4 linked regions of the Arabidopsis thaliana genome follow. The protein of the gene in region 3 interacts with the protein of the main gene of each other region in a pairwise test. Each region holds a gene or a part of one and is shown on either strand. Other genes may lie near its edges. The genes, in order: ROP10, AT4G37445, AT1G74370 and RUS3.

Region 1 (5,343 bases), on a different chromosome or scaffold from region 3:
AGGCTTGGAGATCTAAATAGGCAAGAGAAGCGATATATATATAGCTTCTTGCTTTCGGTTGGTTAATTATTAAGTTCATCACAAATGCATTGAAATGTGTGTGATCAACTTACCATAAATTAAAGTAACATCATGCAAATAAGATGATTAGGAATGATCGCACATTCGCACCTGTTTTTTCATTGAAAGATATTACAATTTCGGTTATTAGCTTATTTTCATGTGATCTTCATAAAGAGTATTCCATTAAAATCTGCTATCTATCATTAATTAACAAATAACAAACTCGTCTTGTCTATTAACAAATCATCACGTAGATTACTATATATGCACTAGTTTATTATCTCAATTTGATGGATCATTTGCCTTGTCTCTGATGATACAGCCATACAAGGCCAAAGACATGGGCCTTTTGGGTCTATTGTTTTTTTTGGCAGCACGATAGTGTGTAACCAATTTTATCAAACCCACAAATCAGATATGAAAACCCAATTTAGCTTGGATACTTTTGTTTTGAAATAACAAAATTATACTTTACTAAGATTGATGAATAAGTTTGATAGCAGATGTTACAGAAAAAAAGAAGGAAAAGTTTGGTTGCTATTTTCCAAAACTTAAAAGTCCCCAATTCAGAGTTAATCCTAATTCCTATATATATATATATCTTTCTCTCTTCTATAACTACATATGTGTTTAACCAAGTTATGTTCATTTCTCCTAGCTAGAACCAGGTAAAATTTGTTTTATTGAAATAATCTATACAATTAATTGGTAATGAGTAATGCCAGAATCTTACAAAAAAAATGATGGCAAAATATAACAGTTTTTAATGCTAAACAAAATAAGAAGGATCAACCGATAAAGAAAAAGAAATAACGTACTATAATCAATGCTTCTTAAGCATGTGATTAGCTTTTAGTATCCTTTTAATCCTACTATATTATTTGGGAAATACATTTTAAATGTAACCTTAATTTTTGTAATTAATTACATGACAATACCATTAGAAAAATTTAATCAAAAACAAAATCTTTTAATGACATCATTAAGGTTACCAAAATCATTTAACGACAATATTCATTTCTTAATTATAGGGCTTGTTGAATCTAAAGACGGGTCATCAAAGATTTTCTAAACTAAAGCAAAATATACCGAATATTCAAATATCTTTCTGTTACCAAATTATAAACAAATAAGTTCGTAAAACAATTTAATATTTTATATACGAAATCAATAAATCTTAATCACATAAAAATTTGTACAAAAAAAAAGTATTCAACAATTAAAAATTTATCAAATCTCTGTGTTATATAAGTTTTGATATTATATTCGAATAAAGTGTAATATACCTTTTTAATTTGTATTCTTTAACTAATTTAAGCTAACTAATATATTTGCTAATCTTATACCTATTAAAACCGACTATCGTTTCTTATCTCTATAGTATTTTTGCAAGATTTTTTTGGTGGATTTGGATAAAAGTGCATTCGGGTCATATGGTACATTCCCCTATTAAATAAATATGGTGCACTCCTATGTTATTAGCTAAAATGTTTAGAATTCAGAGTCATATCATAAATAAAATTAATATGAATAAAATAAATGGCTTTTTGGCAAGACGGATTTAGAAGGACGGGTTTTTGAATCAACATTAATAAAAAAGTAAAATATAATTAATCCACCGTTTCAATACGGGTAAAATCTTTAATTTATTATTTTTTAAGACCACTAATATTAAACATATCAAATTATCCTAATTTAGAAAATATTATATAAAACCAAAAATGTTATGTGATATGTATAATGTTACTATATATAAAATTAAACTATAAAATATAAATGTATTAGAGAATGATACAATTTGCAAAACTTTTATATATAATAAATAATTCTTAAATTTTAAAAATTACGACTTAAAAAAAAACTCACGGGACGGGTAAAGAAATTACAGAACGAGTTTTATTTTGGAATTCGGTTATATGGTGGATGTATTTGAATCAATATTTATAAAATTATAAAATATTATTAATATGCTGTTTTAATAAGGGTTAAAACTTCAGTTTTTTAACAATTGTCTTATAGATTCGTGGCATAGCGTTACTTAATAACAATTATAAACCGTAAAATATAAATATTTTATAAAAATAAAATTTGCAAGTTTTAATATATATTACCTTTAAAAAATTAATCGTCTCGCGGTATACCACGGGTTAAAATCTAATACATTTGTAAAAGCGATAAATATGAAACGATTTAGAAAAGTCATGTGGATTAGATGGATATATCATGTGAGCCCCTCTTCTTTCCCTCTCTTCAGTCTTCAAACCAAAAAACGAAAGAGACAAAAATACAAAATTGAAACTTTGAAAATATTGAAAGAAAAGTGAAAAAAAAGAGAGTTTAGTTTTTTTAATCATATGGGGTTTATATAGTTTATTACCACACTTCCTCATGTTAATCACTTCATTTATCTCTCTATTATCTCTCTCACAATCTCTCTGGTTTTTGGGCGTTTCTTCGTTGAAAGTTGTTTGCTTTTGGTGAGTTAGAATGGCTTCGAGTGCTTCAAAATTCATCAAATGTGTGACTGTTGGAGATGGTGCCGTTGGAAAAACTTGTATGCTCATCTGCTACACTAGCAACAAATTCCCTACTGTAAGTTTAAAATTTGATCAAGTAAATCACAGTTTCGCTGATTTTTCATCAAATTGTTCTTTCGGGCATCTCCAATTTCGTCACTTTTAGTTGAATATACTTCTGGGTCTGTCAAATTTCAACTCTTTCACCGAGAATTTTAGCATGGTATTTCAAAGTTAGCTCCTTTTTTAGGGATTGTGCAAAAATAATCCTTTTTTGGAGATTCTGAAAAATCTTACATTGTAAAGTTAGTGGCTTTCTTGATTCACCAGTGTTTCCTCTTACTCTATTGCGCATTTGTTGTTCTCGTGAAGTTAAAGATTTGCTTGATGGATTGTATCAGGACTACATACCAACAGTTTTTGACAACTTTAGTGTTAATGTTGTGGTTGAAGGCATCACTGTGAACTTAGGCCTTTGGGACACTGCCGGTAAGTAACATTTCTGTATCCCTCTCTTGAATATCTCAGAATAACCAAGTTCACTAATGTTATGTGGTTCTAATCTTTCTAACATCTAGCAAGTTTGCTTTTGATTTGGGATTCTTAGATAGAGAACTTTATAGGGAGTGTTGAAGATTAGTGACTGTTAAGAGTTTTATGATTATGAGTACCCTTTCATGTTTGCAGGGCAAGAAGACTATAACAGACTAAGGCCTTTAAGTTACAGAGGAGCAGATGTTTTTGTGTTGGCTTTCTCATTGATCAGCCGAGCTAGCTATGAGAATGTGTTTAAAAAGGTTTGTGGAAATTGGATTCATTGTATTTCTTACTGGGAAAACAAAGAATGAAATGTGAATTTCTGATGTTTTTGAAGCGTTTATTTTGTTCAGTGGATCCCTGAACTCCAACACTTTGCACCAGGAGTCCCCATTGTGCTTGTTGGTACCAAAATGGGTAAGATAGCTATAAGAGTGGAGCCAACATATTTCCTTGTGTAATGCTTGAGAATCACATATATGTAATGTTTCTTACAATGTTCCGTTATCTAGATCTTCGTGAAGATAGACATTACTTGTCTGATCATCCTGGACTGTCCCCGGTAACTACATCACAGGTGTGCTTTTTCAACCTGTAGAAACCGAAAAGATTGTTGTGACATTCTCTAGACTCTCTCTTCTCTAGGTTTTATATGATTTAATCATTCATGTGTTACAGGGAGAGGAACTCCGCAAGCATATCGGAGCGACTTATTACATTGAATGTAGCTCAAAAACTCAACAGGTACACTTGTTCATGTGTGTTTGGAAACTTAGGAGTCATTAGTGTTAGGTGACTCTTTACTTGCAAACTATATGCTTTTCTTTGGTTCATGGCTTTTGCAGAATGTGAAAGCCGTATTTGATGCTGCTATTAAAGTAGTAATTAAACCAGCAGTGAAACAAAAGGAGAAGAAGAAGAAGCAGAAGCCTCGCAGCGGATGTCTCTCGTAAGTTCAATAATCTTCACTCTTTTTAATATATAACTAAGAAATTATGTAATACTAGAATTTGGTTATGCAACCTTTAGCTTCTTCATACAGTTTTGTTTGTTTGTGTAATGATTATAGATTGGCTTCTCTATTGTGCAGAAACATTCTGTGTGGGAAGAATTGATGAGTCAATTCCATCTGATGATTGTTCACTTCTTTTTTTTTCTTTTCTTTTCTAATTGGCCAGTTTGTGATTCTGATAAGTCGGAATTACATAGACTCTGGCAGAGATGAGCCTCAATTAGTAGCTTCTTCGATTCTGTTTGTATATGTGACCCTGATGTTTGTTTGTTTCGATTTGGTTTGACCCTTATAGAATTGTTATAGCCATTTTGTAGCCAAAACTTGGAGTAGTTCACGACTTAACGTGGTTAACACTTGCTTCTTTCGAAAAAAGGTGAATCCTTAATCACATATTCGAATTTATTTGGTCCTATTATGAGATCCAAGACCAAACGACAAAAGCGTGACAAGTAAGAAGAAGCCTGTAAATTTCAAACAGAACCAGCACAAGAAGTAATAAATCTACAAACTGGAAAAAGAAAGATAAAAAGAAGTAACTAATCTTGTGTCTATAATACAACCCCCATCACCTAACGCACACATGTAAAGCCACAATGCGAAAGACTTTTTTTTTTATCATTTTGAACACACTCAAAAGCCACCAACATTTGTTTTATCGCTAGTTTTTTGAGCCGGTGTATAGAGATACACACATGCATGAAAAATGACCTAAAAGTGTGTTTTCACCTTTTAAAACTCTTTGTGGGGAGGTGGTGATGCGGGTCTCTCGCTGAGAACCTTGTTGATGACTCTTCTGAAAGAGAATGGCCACTCCGGTGAATTTAGGACTGTTTTTGGAAGATCTACATGATGGTGAAACCAAGAGGTCAGGTTTGTGTTCTTAAAAAGGTTGAGACCACTGTGAAGTCGCAAATTGACTCACCCATGCCTCATTTGTACAGAGCAGGCCAGCCAATGAAGCCTTGTGGCATCACATTCACTCTCATCTCTTAGTAACTAGCAGAGTAAAAATGTAACTGAAACATTAGTAAGAGAGAGAAAAACAAAAAGAGAGGTCATAAAACACTAAGGTTTGTGGATTTCGAGGGCTTACAAGCTCATGTGGCCTACTGAGATTCTGAGCTACTGTTATTGCCATGAGGACTGCCTATATCCATCCCATCCTCCTTCCGGTTCTTTCCTCTTCAGAACACCACCTGACATTTGATACAT
Region 2 (4,149 bases), on a different chromosome or scaffold from region 3:
GAAATTTCTCGACCGTGTGATATAATCTATAATATAAAATATCATAATTATTAAACAATGATAAAATTTGTGAGCGACATTGGTATCAATTTCAAATCCAATTATTATGTTGACACAAGACTAGTGATTTATAGTATAACCAATTTAATGTCTAACGTAAAAACAATTACTATTAATTGATTTTCTATATCTGATCATATGTTCAACAAAACACATGCTAATCTACCCACCATTGGCGAATAAATTTATTGCAGAATATAACAGGAGAAAAATGCCAAGAAAAAAAAATCCTTATAAAAACGCACAAGAAAAAAGTAAAAGAGCTATTCTGTAAAATAAAAATGAAAAAAGTATTGAATCCTACATTAATAGATACAGGATATGATGTTCTGTTTCTCAACGGCTACATCTGTCTGTGATCCTTTTTTAATCCAACGATCCAGATCTCTCCTCATCGCCTATATAAAACTCACTTCTCTTACATCAAACAAACAACACGCTTGGTTAAACTCCATCAGTACTTTAACCATCACTTCAAAGTTCAAACTCTTTTTTTTTTTTTTGTTTGATCCAAATTTTAACAAAATTATGGATCGCAATTTCCTCCTAACAGTTACATTGATCTGCATTGTCGTCGCCGGTGTCGGTGGCCAATCTCCTATCTCTTCTCCGACCAAATCTCCCACCACTCCTTCTGCTCCAACTACTTCCCCTACTAAATCCCCCGCCGTTACTTCTCCCACTACGGCTCCGGCGAAAACTCCAACTGCTTCGGCTTCTTCACCGGTTGAGTCACCAAAATCTCCGGCTCCTGTTAGCGAGTCGTCTCCACCACCGACACCTGTTCCAGAGAGCTCTCCTCCGGTTCCTGCACCAATGGTTTCTTCTCCAGTGAGCTCTCCACCGGTTCCAGCACCAGTAGCTGATTCTCCTCCAGCTCCGGTAGCCGCTCCGGTTGCTGATGTACCGGCTCCTGCTCCAAGCAAGCATAAGAAGACTACAAAGAAATCGAAAAAGCATCAAGCTGCACCTGCTCCGGCTCCGGAACTTCTCGGTCCACCTGCACCACCGACTGAATCTCCCGGACCTAACTCCGACGCTTTTTCTCCCGGTCCTTCCGCCGACGATCAGGTACATTAGCTTATATCAACAATGTTGATATTTATCTACCGTCACAAGTTCGAGTATCAATGTTAAAAATAACCAATGAGACATTTCAAAACAGTGAACATAGATTTTCAATTTTTGTTATATTGATTTAGTAATTACATATTCGATTAACTAAAATGAAAATATGGAATTGAATGCAGAGCGGAGCAGCGAGCACAAGGGTGTTGAGGAATGTAGCGGTGGGAGCGGTTGCAACCGCATGGGCCGTTCTCGTTATGGCATTCTAAATTATTTATCATTTCACCTCTGATATTTTTTAGTTTTTATATTTTTGACCCTACCATTGTCTCTTTCTTTACGAATTTGGTAATGAGTATTATTTAATTGATTATACAGTTTGTTTTCTTTTATTTTATTTATATGGAAATAATAAGAATTCATATCTGTCAGTGATGAAAATACTGTTTTACACATTGATTGTTCTTTTCTTTTGCAGACAAAAGTCCTTTAGTGATGGGTCCGAGTTCTTTATTGAAAATGACACATTCAATTTTAATGCAGAATTATGGACATTTACTCTAAAATAAAATGTTTGTGTAAGTAACGTCTATGTAACAATAAGCAAAGCAGTTACATAATTTGTTTTAGTCTTTTAAATGTTTAAAGTGTTAGTAAATCAAATGTTGATATTTACGTTTGAAACCAATTACATGTGTTTCTTTAAACAAATATTTACAATTGGAGTATAATTATGCGAGAATGAAAGTGTCAGCTACTTAGTTGGATCTTAGTCTTTTATAATGTGAAGTTGGTAAATATTTATTGAATTCATATCTGATACCCAACTCAAGTGGCCAAGTTGCTATAAATGAATTGTCTAAAATTTATTACTAAACATGTATAGATCCAACCAATCATATAATACAATGCTTTTTATTGTACCTTTCAAATAGCTAGATTCATATTTTTGTCTTGTTCCTTAGAGAACTAGATTTGAAAAAGAAAAAAATTAATGGATATCTAATATGGTAGGCAAAAAGAAAGTGAGAATAGAGGACAAGTCATATTCCCCATGCTTTTATTAAAAGTACATTACTCAACTGTGAAGAAATGGCTAAGATTTTGTAAGTAAAGCACAAGTTATACTTGAACCAAGGTCTTGTGTAGAGATTCAAGATTCTTGGCTTTGCAAAGACACAAACCCACCAAGCCAAGTCTCTGATTCCACACACCAATACAAATTTGTATATAAACATAACATTTTCTTCTTCCTAAAGACTAACTTCTAGACAATATGGGTAGTTCAATGGGCTTTCTCGGAAAAGGTTTTGCAATTTTTTAACCTAACAATTATCGACTCAAATCGTTATATAACCGTTTTGACAAATTTTCGTCCTATATATCTTTCTAAATAGATTTCGATATTTGGCCTAGGGGTACCACCGACGCAGATGATGAATATGGTAATGGGTTCACTCTACAAACAATTTACCCAAAAAGCTATCAACAACTTCGACGATTTCCACGTTGCTGTTTTAGACATCTTTAAGTAAGGATTGTTTCATTATTTGATCATTCGAAAACAATGGTTATGTTGGCCAACATTTTTTTTTTTAAAAGGAATTTTATCTATTGAGTGCAGCAACTTCAACTCGGCTTTACCAGGCAGGCACTTCGATTTCCCAACCCCGGACCAAATAAAGGTGAGTCCTCTCCTCTATCAAAATCACACAAAGAATCTTATAATAATTTCTCTATATTTTTAACACAATGTTGAATGATCTAAACAGGTTTGTTTCGCGCGGTGGAAGGAAGCGAAAGACGAAGAAGAGAAGAAAAAATTGTTCATTGAGTTCATGTCAAAGAGCGTGAAGCCAAGTAAACTCGATGATGTCACTATGATCACCGGAATAGTATCTCCACCGGCGGCAATGGCGGCTAAGAGAGCAGGAGAGAATGTTCCTCAGTTAAAATTAATCAAACTTATACCTGATGTTATATTCGTCCCTACGGTCACCATTTTAGCCATTGTCTCTGCCAAACTCTCTAGACGAATGTATTTGAAATAGTGTTTTAACTAAGCTTTCTTTCTTTTCCAAACAAAAAAAACTTAGCACCGACAAGATATAAAACATGATTGATTGATAATACAAAATAGAGAAAAATATATACACTCTAAATTATAGAAGTAAAGTTCAAAAGTTGATGTAGTTTGAATATATTGTTGACATGAAGAATCAAAACACAGCCACTATAAATATTTCTTTGTACTTTAAAGGCTTAAGAGTTAAGAATATCTTAGAATGAACAATTTTTACTTTTTAACACAAGATCCGATTAGTTACTTGAAAGTTTCCAAACCTTCTTCAGGATCTTCTTCGTAACCCGGCAGAGCCTGACCTTCGTTTTCCTCGCTTTCTCTTCCTGTTGGAAAACCTAGAAGCCATCACAGCATTAGACTTTGGCTTCTCTCTTGAAACCCGACGCCTCTTTGGGTTACTCTCTTCCTTCGTAATGATTTCACGATTGCGCGGTGTTCTTTTCCTTACCTGCGTTGTGTTAGAATGGCATATGAGACCAAAAGGGTTTAGCAAAGTTACACTGAGTTAGCGGAAAACTTACAGGTCTTGATGGACCTTCCTCAATTGAAGCTTGTTCTGTCTTCACTAGATTCTTATCGGGAATAATAGATTTCCCTTCCCTTCGCTTTGATGCTAGAATCTCAGACAGTAAAATATCTGTTGTCTCGTCGTCTTCAGGTGAGACGTGATGAGATGAAACTGAAGCAGATTTCACCGGTTTTTCTTCAGAGATGATCGATTTCTCATCTTCGTTTTTGATAGCCAGCAGGGGCTTTTGTTGTTCTGAGCTGGTGTATACATCAGCAGCTCCAAGTGGATTCACTGTGTTAGCCAGAGGGAATATACTTGGATTTTCACTCAAAACCTTGTCTACGCGGATCTTCAAGTTACGGGCTTCTGACTTTGCTGCTTCAATTTTCAAAAGTATCTGTTCCAAGTACGCATCGCCTTCTCTAAA
Region 3 (4,487 bases):
CTTTCATTTCTGGCGCGATACCAACAACAGGACAAGTAGCAACCTTTGACAAAGACTCCTTTCTTGGAAATCCGCTGCTGCGGTTTCCTAGTTTCTTCAACCAATCAGGGAACAACACGAGGAAGATTTCCAACCAAGTCCTAGGAAACAGGCCAAGAACTCTTCTTTTGATTTGGATTTCCTTGGCTCTTGCATTGGCGTTTATTGCATGTTTAGTGGTATCAGGTATTGTACTTATGGTTGTTAAGGCTTCAAGGGAAGCAGAAATCGATCTCTTAGATGGGTCGAAAACCAGACATGACATGACTTCCAGTTCAGGTGGATCATCGCCATGGCTATCAGGAAAAATCAAGGTCATTCGCTTAGACAAATCAACTTTCACATACGCTGACATTCTGAAAGCAACCAGTAACTTCTCTGAGGAGAGAGTGGTAGGTAGGGGAGGCTATGGAACTGTTTACAGAGGCGTATTGCCTGATGGAAGAGAAGTTGCAGTCAAGAAGCTTCAGAGGGAAGGCACAGAAGCAGAGAAAGAGTTCAGAGCTGAAATGGAAGTTCTAAGTGCCAACGCATTTGGAGATTGGGCACATCCGAACCTCGTGAGGCTATATGGATGGTGCCTAGATGGGTCAGAGAAAATCTTGGTGCACGAATACATGGGAGGCGGGAGCTTAGAGGAGCTCATCACAGACAAAACAAAACTTCAATGGAAGAAACGTATTGATATAGCCACAGATGTAGCAAGGGGATTAGTGTTTTTACACCACGAATGCTACCCTTCCATCGTTCACAGAGACGTCAAAGCCAGTAACGTTCTTTTGGATAAACACGGGAATGCGAGAGTGACGGATTTTGGACTAGCAAGACTCTTAAATGTAGGAGATAGCCATGTGAGCACAGTGATTGCAGGCACAATCGGGTATGTAGCTCCCGAGTATGGACAAACTTGGCAAGCCACCACAAGAGGAGATGTTTACAGCTACGGAGTATTGACCATGGAACTCGCGACGGGTAGAAGAGCTGTTGATGGAGGAGAAGAGTGTTTGGTCGAATGGGCAAGACGTGTAATGACAGGTAACATGACAGCCAAAGGTTCACCAATAACCCTGTCAGGGACCAAACCAGGGAACGGAGCTGAGCAAATGACTGAGCTACTAAAGATTGGTGTGAAGTGTACAGCTGATCATCCTCAGGCAAGACCAAACATGAAAGAAGTTCTAGCTATGTTGGTTAAGATATCCGGTAAAGCAGAGCTCTTCAATGGCTTATCTTCACAAGGTTACATAGAAATGTAAAAATCTTTCTTTCTTTTCTTCTTTCAGATTTATTATACAGAACAACAGAGTTTTCTTCTTCACCATTTTTCGTTTCATTGTTTCTGATTCTTCTTGTACACAGAACCTCATTGTTATCAGACAGATAGGGATAGAGAAAGGTAGTTTTGTTCGCAATGTACAGAGACACAATCTGAAAATAAAGATCTTCTCTTCTTCTTGTCTATATTGAGTGTAAACAACGTTGGCTCTATCTCGTGTTTCTTACAAGTCAGGAAACATACAGGAAGAAAGAAACAGTACAATGAGTCAGGTTGCAATCTCTCTGATCAGCCAGTTTAAGCTCGGGAAGGCAAAATAAAGGACGAGAAACGACGGGACAGCCAAAGCAAACGTAACAAAGAAATAAACCCCGAGAACTGCAGCACTCACAGGGATTGCATATAAAGCCATCAACAGGAATATGACTACCAGAGGAAACTTAGCCAACAAATGAGCAACAAGAGCCATTGACTTACGTACCGAGTCATGGAGCCTCCCAGTTCTGAAGAATCCTCTGGTCACACCATTCCACCAGCTGCGATTGTCCAGCAACCCTTCATCACCCAAGGCGGTATTACTCACTCCATCACACCTATTTCTCAAGTCTCTCTGCCCTGAAGCAACCCTTTTGTTGTCGCTGGGTGCCTCCGATCTGGAGCCATTCATGCTTTCTACCATCCACAGAAGGTAAAAGTTCTTGGAAGGAAATCTGATGGTTCCATTGCAAACCAGCCTTAAAGAGAGAATATTGCACCAAGGGCAAGCAACGAAGAAGGGAAGCTGGAATGGTAAAGCAGAGGATTTGATGACAATGGCACGTTGAAGCCCTAAGAGACAGTACTTGCAGATTGTATGACCACACCATAAGACATAAGGTACATTCTCAACAACGTTGAATGATTCCCAGCAAATGGGACACTCCAATTTTTCTTCCTTTGTTGTCTTTCTTCCATCTCCTGATCTATCTAAAGTAGCTCTTCTTGGTTTTGTAGCAGCTTCTTCTCCCTTCGATATAAAACCTTCTCTGATCGATTTTGAAGCTAAATTCCACATAGCAATGGAGGGATCCACAAAGATAATCACTTTGAATCTTTCTCTCTGCAACAAGAAAATCACACACACATACACTACATAATCAGATATGAGATTTACAATCCAACCCCCAAAGATTGGACCGAGAACATACAAAAAGTAACGAACTTGATGAAACCCAAGAAATCATTAACAGAATTACAGAAAACGAAATACACTTACAAGAGTTTATCCGGTCATGAAGATGAAGATCATTGCAAAAACAAAAAATGCAACAGCTACGTCGTTGAGTTATATAATATCTCCGAAGCTCTGATGTAACCAGCGAGAAGAAAACCGGCTGAAAAAGAGACACGCGTCGTAAAACATGGTGACTCTGAAACGCCTTTCAATGTTTCCGCCGCCCCCACCGATTTCCTCACCTTATCCGTTTCTGTTTTCAGGTTTAACTACCAAAACGCATCGTTTCACTATACCGCCAAAATTAAACTACCGGTTTAGTTCCGTAATTTTCTATTACCGAAATCGGTTAAAGTAAAATAGTAGTTGTCGGTGAGAGTGAGCTGTACGCGTTTCTTCTTCTCCTTGTGCGCTTTCTGGATCGAACGAAGCATTTTCCTCCGACAATATATTTTTAAGTAATGACAATGTTTCCGCATTATTGGGTTTAATTCCATTTTTAAATTAGGGTTCTTCAGATCGACAAATCTTTCTCTTTCTCTTTCCCCGATCGGAATCATGCTAAAGATCTGAACTTTTTCTCAGATCCGTGAATAAGTAAGTACGGAGAGACAGAAACATACTCAGACTGATCTGAGGAAAACAAAGTTGATGGTCGCAAACCTGTAAGTGAAATCTATAGAGAGAGACGTTGAAGAAGAAAATGGGTCAAGATGGTTCGCCGGCGCATAAAAGACCATCCGGAAGCGGCGGAGGACTTCCGACGACGACGTTAACCAACGGTGGAGGAAGAGGTGGTCGTGGTGGTTTGTTACCTCGAGGTAGACAGATGCAGAAGACGTTTAACAACATCAAGATCACAATTCTCTGTGGTTTCGTCACAATTCTCGTCTTACGTGGCACTATCGGTGTTGGTAACCTAGGAAGCTCAAGCGCCGATGCAGTTAACCAGAACATCATTGAGGAGACTAACCGGATTCTAGCTGAGATCCGATCTGATTCGGATCCAACCGACTTGGATGAGCCTCAGGAAGGTGATATGAATCCCAATGCGACGTATGTTCTAGGTCCTAAGATCACGGATTGGGATAGTCAACGTAAGGTATGGTTGAATCAGAATCCTGAGTTTCCTAGTACTGTCAATGGCAAAGCTCGAATCTTGCTTTTAACAGGATCTCCTCCTAAGCCTTGTGATAACCCCATTGGTGATCATTATCTTTTGAAATCTGTGAAGAACAAGATTGATTATTGTAGGCTTCATGGAATTGAGATTGTGTATAACATGGCTCATTTGGATAAGGAACTCGCTGGCTATTGGGCAAAATTACCAATGATTAGGAGGTTGATGTTGTCTCATCCAGAAGTTGAGTGGATCTGGTGGATGGATAGTGATGCTTTGTTCACTGATATACTGTTTCAGATCCCTTTGGCTAGGTATCAGAAGCATAATCTAGTGATTCATGGTTATCCGGACTTGTTGTTCGATCAGAAGTCGTGGATTGCTTTGAACACAGGTAGTTTTCTGCTGAGGAATTGTCAGTGGTCGTTGGATTTGTTAGATGCTTGGGCGCCTATGGGACCTAAAGGGCCAATTCGTGATGAGGCCGGGAAGGTATTGACGGCTTATCTGAAAGGTAGACCAGCTTTTGAGGCAGATGATCAGTCAGCATTGATCTATCTCCTGCTTTCTCAGAAAGATACATGGATGGAGAAAGTGTTTGTGGAGAATCAATACTATTTGCACGGGTTTTGGGAAGGTTTGGTTGATAGGTATGAGGAGATGATAGAGAAGTATCACCCGGGATTGGGTGATGAGAGATGGCCATTTGTGACCCATTTCGTTGGGTGTAAACCGTGTGGTAGCTATGCTGATTATGCAGTCGAGAGGTGCTTGAAGAGTATGGAGAGGGCCTTTAATTTTGCAGACAATCAAGTGCTCAAGCTGTATGGTTTTAGCCA
Region 4 (5,915 bases), about 23 Mb from region 3:
GATATCCCGGTGAGAAAATCACGGATTTCATTTCTCTTTGGTAAGTCCTCCGGATCAAACATCCAGCCAAACCCGACAATGAATTTGATATCAAGGTCAATCATGAATAAAGAAGTAAGGTTCTTTACCACGATTCTATCGAAATGGTCTGCTTTAAGACTCATATACTCTAGTCCAGGAGCATCAATCTCAAATGTCTGTGTCACTCTCCTAAACAAAGAAAGTTTATGCCTAAACGGAATAGAAAACCTCTTCAAGCTTCGAGATCTCACACGCGTAACCACCAATTTATCATCATGAAGATAAATCAGTTCTTCAAGAACAGGACAACCTGAAACAAGCTTCTCCAGATTCATAGTACCACTACTATCCCATCGAACTTCTCGAAGATGCATGAATTTGAGACAAGGCAAATAGACAAACCCTGGATCCTCAAGACCCGAATACGAAAGCTTCAAAGAAACCAATGTCTTACACGAATAAAGATTCAGAGGCATGAACTCGATACAAGGATAGTCAATGCAATCATCAGCATCTCGATAATAGGTATTGCTCTCAACATCTAAAACTCGAATCCCGCGGCTAATCGCGTCACCAATCCGATCCGAGAACTTAATGATCTTATCTCTACTGTAATCTACCTTGAATTTTTGAAGACGTGACTCATTGTTAAACTGGAGAAATCTGTCAATGAAATCAATCAACAGTTTTTCGTTGTTGTTCTGAAAGGGGAAATCACGGCAGTTCAAATCAAGTCCGGGAACATTAAGCCATAGATTCTTCCATCTAGTCGATAAAACACTCGTCTTCACAGAAGCTTTAGTCGGAAGGTGTAACAGTATTTGACTAATCAAAGATTCCGGCAATTCGCTAATTCTATCAAACCCAGGCATGACCTAATAGCATTAACAAACAATAAATTAATCGAATTCCAAAAACTAGGGTACAAGTGTCTGACTATAAACGAAATACTCACCGTGGATTCCATTCGCCGGCGGAATTATTGGCCGGAGTTGTGGAATTAGCTTCAGCTACGAGCTAAACGATGAACATGAAGTGATAATGAAAGAGAATCACAAAATTGAAGTATTTATACGTTCGAAGCGGTTCCGATTCCAATTTTTGCGTTTCCAAAAAAATAAAACGGTTGCCATTATTATAATTCTTTAATTTTCCATTAATAACAAACGTTATACAATGTTAAACCGACATTTTACGGTTAAACCGGTATCGGTTACATGTTTTACATGACTTAGAACTAACATATTTTTGTATGTTTGCAACGAGTTAACAAACTATTTTGATCTTGAAAGGCGATAAAGCTCAGTCGAACTTAGCAGCGGAAGTGTGAGATATCCAATTAGCTCTCCAAGTAATGGAAGGCGAAAGAAGACGCTCTGTTTTCCAACCTCCTGATCTCAGCTACATGGGAAACAACAGAAAGAAAAAGAGTGAAAACAGTAGCTTTAGTGTCATAAAAACACGGTTTAACTGGTCCTAGTGATTTAATCTTACCTTGTGGAGCAATTCGTCATAGTGTTTATCAATCCAAGCTTCTCCTTCTGAATAAAAAGATGTGCTCTTTTCCATAAGGTTTGCCAAAACAATGGCATGAATATATGATTTCAACACATCTGCAGGTTTTGAATCTTTGTGCAAGATCACACTAACATTTCCCTTTATGTGAGCCAATAAATACTTAGCTGCAGGAGTGTACAACAACAGACAAGAACCGAGCTTACGTCAAGTATGGACAGAGAAACTAATGTCCTTGAAAGATTGTGGAAAAATAAATCAATCAAACCATTCTTGTATGAAGAAGCTCCAACACCATTTAGCAGCTGCAACCTGCACACAAATATGTCAAGCTTGAGCCGATTCTTTACCCGAAAATTATGATAATCTAGTATAGAGCTTACATATCTAGACGAGGGAGAGAGGAAACTCTCACACCTAACTGCACTCTCTTATGCAATGGCTTTGAATTCGTTGACCTCAATGAAGTGGCCCACAAGGGCAATACACCCTCCATTGAAGAAACCTGTTCGGGAGAGAGAACTGGCAACACGTTTAGTTAAAGAAAGTTATTGGTATATGGTGCAATAATAAAGAGAAACCAATAAAAAACAAAGGAAAGCCACTGAAAACTTGAAAGAATCAATGGCGCATTTCGAAATTACCTTGGCCAGTTTGAATGAAATGTGTTAGAAGAATTGAACTCCTCTCAAAGTTTAATGAATTCAATACAAGACACCGGACAGCTCTATAGTTTGCTAAATATATAAGAAAGGCAAACAGTGAGAGAAATTCTGATTTGATCTATGCTTTAACCTTCATTTGTGACTTACCATACATATGAAACACGGTGAGAGAGAGAAACGAAAGCCAAATAGCCATAGGGTTTCCAGAGGTAAACCGAGCTAGCAACATTCCCAATGACATACCCATCATAGTTGCCATAGTCTCTTGGCTTCCTTCCTTTCAATAGATAAAATAGAAGCAAAGAATTACTCAAAGTTCACATTTATAGTTTCTATATCATTCACAGTGACAAGAAGTAAAGAGTACCTTAGCAGATATATCCGCTGCATTGTCTTGAAGAGCAAAGTGCTGTGTTAGAGCTGCTCTGGTTGCTCCACTTGCAACACCAGCTAATAGCCAAGATTGAAAAAAGTTAAAAACCGATGTATCAATCCAAACCGAAGTCTTAACTTCAATGTTTGATGCAAGAAATGATACGCACTAAATGATCTTGATAGGCTCCCTAAGCAAACCACAACGATAAAGGCAGATGGAAACAAAGGAGAAAGAAGGTCCATTAGCATTCCTGCAATAAAAGCAACAAAGCTTGTAGTCATTCAACTGAGAACCAAATACAGGCAATTAGTATCAAGTGTGATGTGACAACTAACTTTTACATACCAATATCATTCATAAGGTCAGCAACTAGGCGCCACATTTTTGCATTGCTATCCAGGTTGGAACCCTGAAGAACAGAACAGTTCCCATTAAATAAGAACGTAACCAATCTAAATCTTAAAGAAAAGGGAAGAGAATCGATGTGTATTATGATTGGGAAGAATCTGCTACATAGGCACCTGATAAAATGTGAACAATATACCTCCAAGCATCCCAGTAAAATCCCTCAGAAACCACTGCATAATACACAAGATAGAATCACTATTCTCCATTGCGCTTTATAGTTCTTGAGAGAACTAGTGTGAAATGTTATATGTAAGCAATGGAAAAACTCACCTGAAATGTAGCACCTATAACAGTTGCGGATTTCTCACCAACGCCAATTGCACTCAAAAGAGCCTGAAAATAGTCCAAATCAGAAATGCTGCAGCAGACAAATTGGACCAAAATAGAGAACTCAGAAGCTCAAAAACTTTAGCTTTAGCTCACCTGAGTGGAAAGCATCATCTTTGTATAAGTTGAGAGGCCCTGCAACAAACATAGCCGAGAGTCACAATTCAAATTTCACAGTAGCTATAAGGCATACAAGCATATTCTCACATACCTGTAATGTGTCCCATAACTGAAACCCTACATAATCTGGAGTTACACTGCCAGGAAAGCCCTGCACTAGACAAAGTACAATTCAGCCAAACCCTAATCCGGAGGACAGATTCTAAAGGGAAAAAGAGAGAAAACACTTGCCTCTGGTACAAATGCTTGAAGAACTCGTCTCCACACATGATTAAAGCGATTAGCAGACCTATGAATCACTCACAGGAGACGAAAACCCAAGAAAGTTTCTCAATTTTGTTGTGAATCCACTGAAACTATCAGATTTGGATTGATTTCAAAGAGGAATAAAGAAGAACCTTTGGATAGAGAGAGAAGAGGAGGCAGTGATGGTTGCTGTTTTGAATAGCTTAGTGGAAGAAGAACCATTCCATTCTTCAAGAGTAATCGATCCGCAATCAGAGACTTGTTCTTCTCTCATGGCGAATTTTGGCTTCTTACGAGTGAAAAGAATCACTTATTCAAATGTTTAGACTTTATGAGTGTTTTGGACTTTGTGTTGGGTTTCAATTGCAATTGAATAGTCCAATGACCCAAATGTGATTGGACTTTGGGTTAGTAAAAGGTACGTTTTTGGCAAACGCAGGTCACATGTCCACATCATAGTCTTCTTTTGGCTCCCAATTGGATTTCTAGATTTAGAAACACTTAAACCAACAAGTCACGGAAGTGTGTGAAAGGAATGTTAATGCTAATGATCACCATATCTTTATATGCTTTGTGCCTATGTTTCTAGGTTTTGATCATCAGTCACCAACTTTATAAATGTTGTTTCCTACAAGTTATCTCTAGAACACAGTTGTATCACATTCATCTTCATCTTCAGACATTTGTTTTCATGATCTTCTTGTGAGAAATGGGAAACTTGTTGATGTTTTGGTGACTCTTGTGTCAATTCAAGAGGGAAAATCTCATCGAAAGCAACCTTTGTCAGGAGTTGCAATTCATAGGACACTGTTTGATGTGAATGAAGAAGCTTATGTCAAAGCTTCTCCAACAGTTCTCGGATTTGATGTAAAGCTTTGTGTTATTTTATATGATAAAAGCTTTACATTGCACCTTTTTCTTTGTTTCTACAGTGCTTCGATTTGTCTTACAAGAGTTAAATATGTCGATCCACCTCTACTGTGTTCTACGCCTATCAAGGTCTTTTCCTCATCAAGGTTTACTACGAGGTTTTGTGCTTCTCTTCTCTGCAATGAGTCTTAAATTTCTTTACAAATTCTTTAAAGTTTGATGTGTTACTAGTTTCTCTTCTTGTCAGGGTCTTTTAAAAGTATATGCAAACATCATTGTATTATATTAGAATATATATATATATATATATAGTATTCAGATTCATTATTTCAACTGATTAGATCTATGGAACAAATTGAGAGAGAAGAAGACAAGATTCTGAATTTGAACAGCAGCTAAAAAGCAAGAACAAATTTGACTTTTTAATTCCCTCTCAGAAAAGAAATGACGAACCCAAAAGTTCTTTCTAACTTAAGAAAAACTTGAGCAAAACTTAAGCAAAACTTAAGAAAAATTTAAGAAAAAAACATTCCATTTTCTTATCAAATTAGTTCTAATATTATCGTAGCTAGTGCTCAAATATCACCTAGGTTCATAACAGAGAAAACACATGGTACATATTTGGATTTTGGCCACAACTATTTGAGAAAAACTGTATGTATGTATTCGGGATCACGCCATCCAACCATCCTTGCAGGAGCCATTAAACGGGACTATTCATGTTGTTGCGGGAGGTGGAGGAGCCAGTCTAGATGATTTCTCTTGCATGCAGTCCAGCTGGAGCCTGCTCGGCGACAAGGACTTTGGGTTCGTCACCTTAATTGTCGTCGATCACTCTACCATTCAGTTCGAGTACAGGAGAAGCAGCGACGCAGTCATCCACGACTCTTTCGAGATAGCGAGGGAGTACAAAGAGATACTGGCGACTTTCACTTTGTAGGATAGGGAGAAATTAAAATAAAACGGCTATCTATTTTTATTTTGGACGGTTAATTGGAATAAAAATATCTGGTTTATTTAATATTGTCTTTATAAGTAAGTATTCGTGTAATAAACGATTGGTCGATTCTTAGTTTTTACTTGCGAATCTGAAGAATCTGATGATCGATGACGAAGATGATTCACTAAAGCCTCTTCTTCAATTGGAAGGTTCTGGTTCAGTAAAATTTTCCGGTTAAATTACTCAATAAGACGGTTCAGTGGTTAAGTGGGTCGATGTCTATTACTTAAAATGGATCAAGGTTTTAGAGGTTTTAAATAATGGATCAAATTAATTTCGTTTCTGAATCTGTGTAATCTTTTGTTGTTTTCAAAATGTTTTAAAGTTATAAAGAGGGCACCGTGCCTGTAGCAACATGTAATGATAG

The links.
Region 1: the proteins of AT1G74370 (region 3) and ROP10 interact in a protein complementation assay, tested with the Arabidopsis thaliana proteins (one large-scale study listed by BioGRID).
Region 2: the proteins of AT1G74370 (region 3) and AT4G37445 interact in a protein complementation assay, tested with the Arabidopsis thaliana proteins (one large-scale study listed by BioGRID).
Region 4: the proteins of AT1G74370 (region 3) and RUS3 interact in a protein complementation assay, tested with the Arabidopsis thaliana proteins (one large-scale study listed by BioGRID).

What each region holds. Positions count from the first base shown.
Region 1 is NC_003074.8:17,729,011-17,734,353, forward strand, and holds ROP10 (RHO-related protein from plants 10), read left to right. Parts: upstream 1-2,326; 5' UTR 2,327-2,550; coding exon 2,551-2,655; intron 2,656-2,980; coding exon 2,981-3,068; intron 3,069-3,266; coding exon 3,267-3,376; intron 3,377-3,469; coding exon 3,470-3,533; intron 3,534-3,628; coding exon 3,629-3,693; intron 3,694-3,794; coding exon 3,795-3,860; coding exon of another isoform or gene 3,861-3,902; exon of another isoform or gene 3,903-3,961; coding exon 3,962-4,065; intron 4,066-4,206; coding exon 4,207-4,231; 3' UTR 4,232-4,503; downstream 4,504-5,343. Other genes in the region: protein SUO, read right to left, coding at 5,260-5,343. UniProt on the Arabidopsis thaliana protein: Acts as a negative regulator of abscisic acid (ABA) responses.
Region 2 is NC_003075.7:17,603,174-17,607,322, reverse strand, and holds AT4G37445 (calcium ion-binding protein), read left to right. Parts: upstream 1-2,378; 5' UTR 2,379-2,404; coding exon 2,405-2,435; intron 2,436-2,525; exon of another isoform or gene 2,526-2,544; coding exon 2,545-2,659; intron 2,660-2,752; coding exon 2,753-2,813; intron 2,814-2,900; coding exon 2,901-3,179; 3' UTR 3,180-3,229; downstream 3,230-4,149. Other genes in the region: AGP18 (arabinogalactan protein 18), read left to right, coding at 382-1,131, 1,311-1,397; AT4G37440 (uncharacterized protein), read right to left, coding at 3,477-3,659, 3,733-4,149.
Region 3 is NC_003070.9:27,956,617-27,961,103, forward strand, and holds AT1G74370 (RING/U-box superfamily protein), read right to left. Parts: upstream 2,785-4,487; 5' UTR 2,571-2,784; intron 2,415-2,570; 5' UTR 2,370-2,414; coding exon 1,584-2,369; 3' UTR 1,470-1,583; downstream 1-1,469. Other genes in the region: AT1G74360 (Leucine-rich repeat protein kinase family protein), read left to right, coding at 1-1,295; XXT5 (xyloglucan xylosyltransferase 5), read left to right, coding at 3,232-4,487; AT1G74385 (uncharacterized protein), read right to left, coding at 4,109-4,354.
Region 4 is NC_003070.9:4,719,754-4,725,668, reverse strand, and holds RUS3 (root UVB sensitive protein (Protein of unknown function, DUF647)), read right to left. Parts: upstream 4,096-5,915; 5' UTR 3,953-4,095; coding exon 3,831-3,952; exon of another isoform or gene 3,722-3,830; coding exon 3,664-3,721; intron 3,584-3,663; coding exon 3,524-3,583; intron 3,448-3,523; coding exon 3,409-3,447; intron 3,319-3,408; coding exon 3,256-3,318; intron 3,156-3,255; coding exon 3,099-3,155; intron 2,987-3,098; coding exon 2,923-2,986; intron 2,828-2,922; coding exon 2,744-2,827; intron 2,652-2,743; coding exon 2,569-2,651; intron 2,479-2,568; coding exon 2,349-2,478; intron 2,274-2,348; coding exon 2,181-2,273; intron 2,059-2,180; coding exon 1,920-2,058; intron 1,849-1,919; coding exon 1,805-1,848; coding exon of another isoform or gene 1,704-1,804; coding exon 1,516-1,703; intron 1,423-1,515; coding exon 1,324-1,422; 3' UTR 1,154-1,323; downstream 1-1,153. Other genes in the region: AT1G13780 (F-box/RNI-like/FBD-like domains-containing protein), read right to left, coding at 1-896, 977-988; AT1G13760 (uncharacterized protein), read left to right, coding at 4,568-4,706, 5,246-5,304.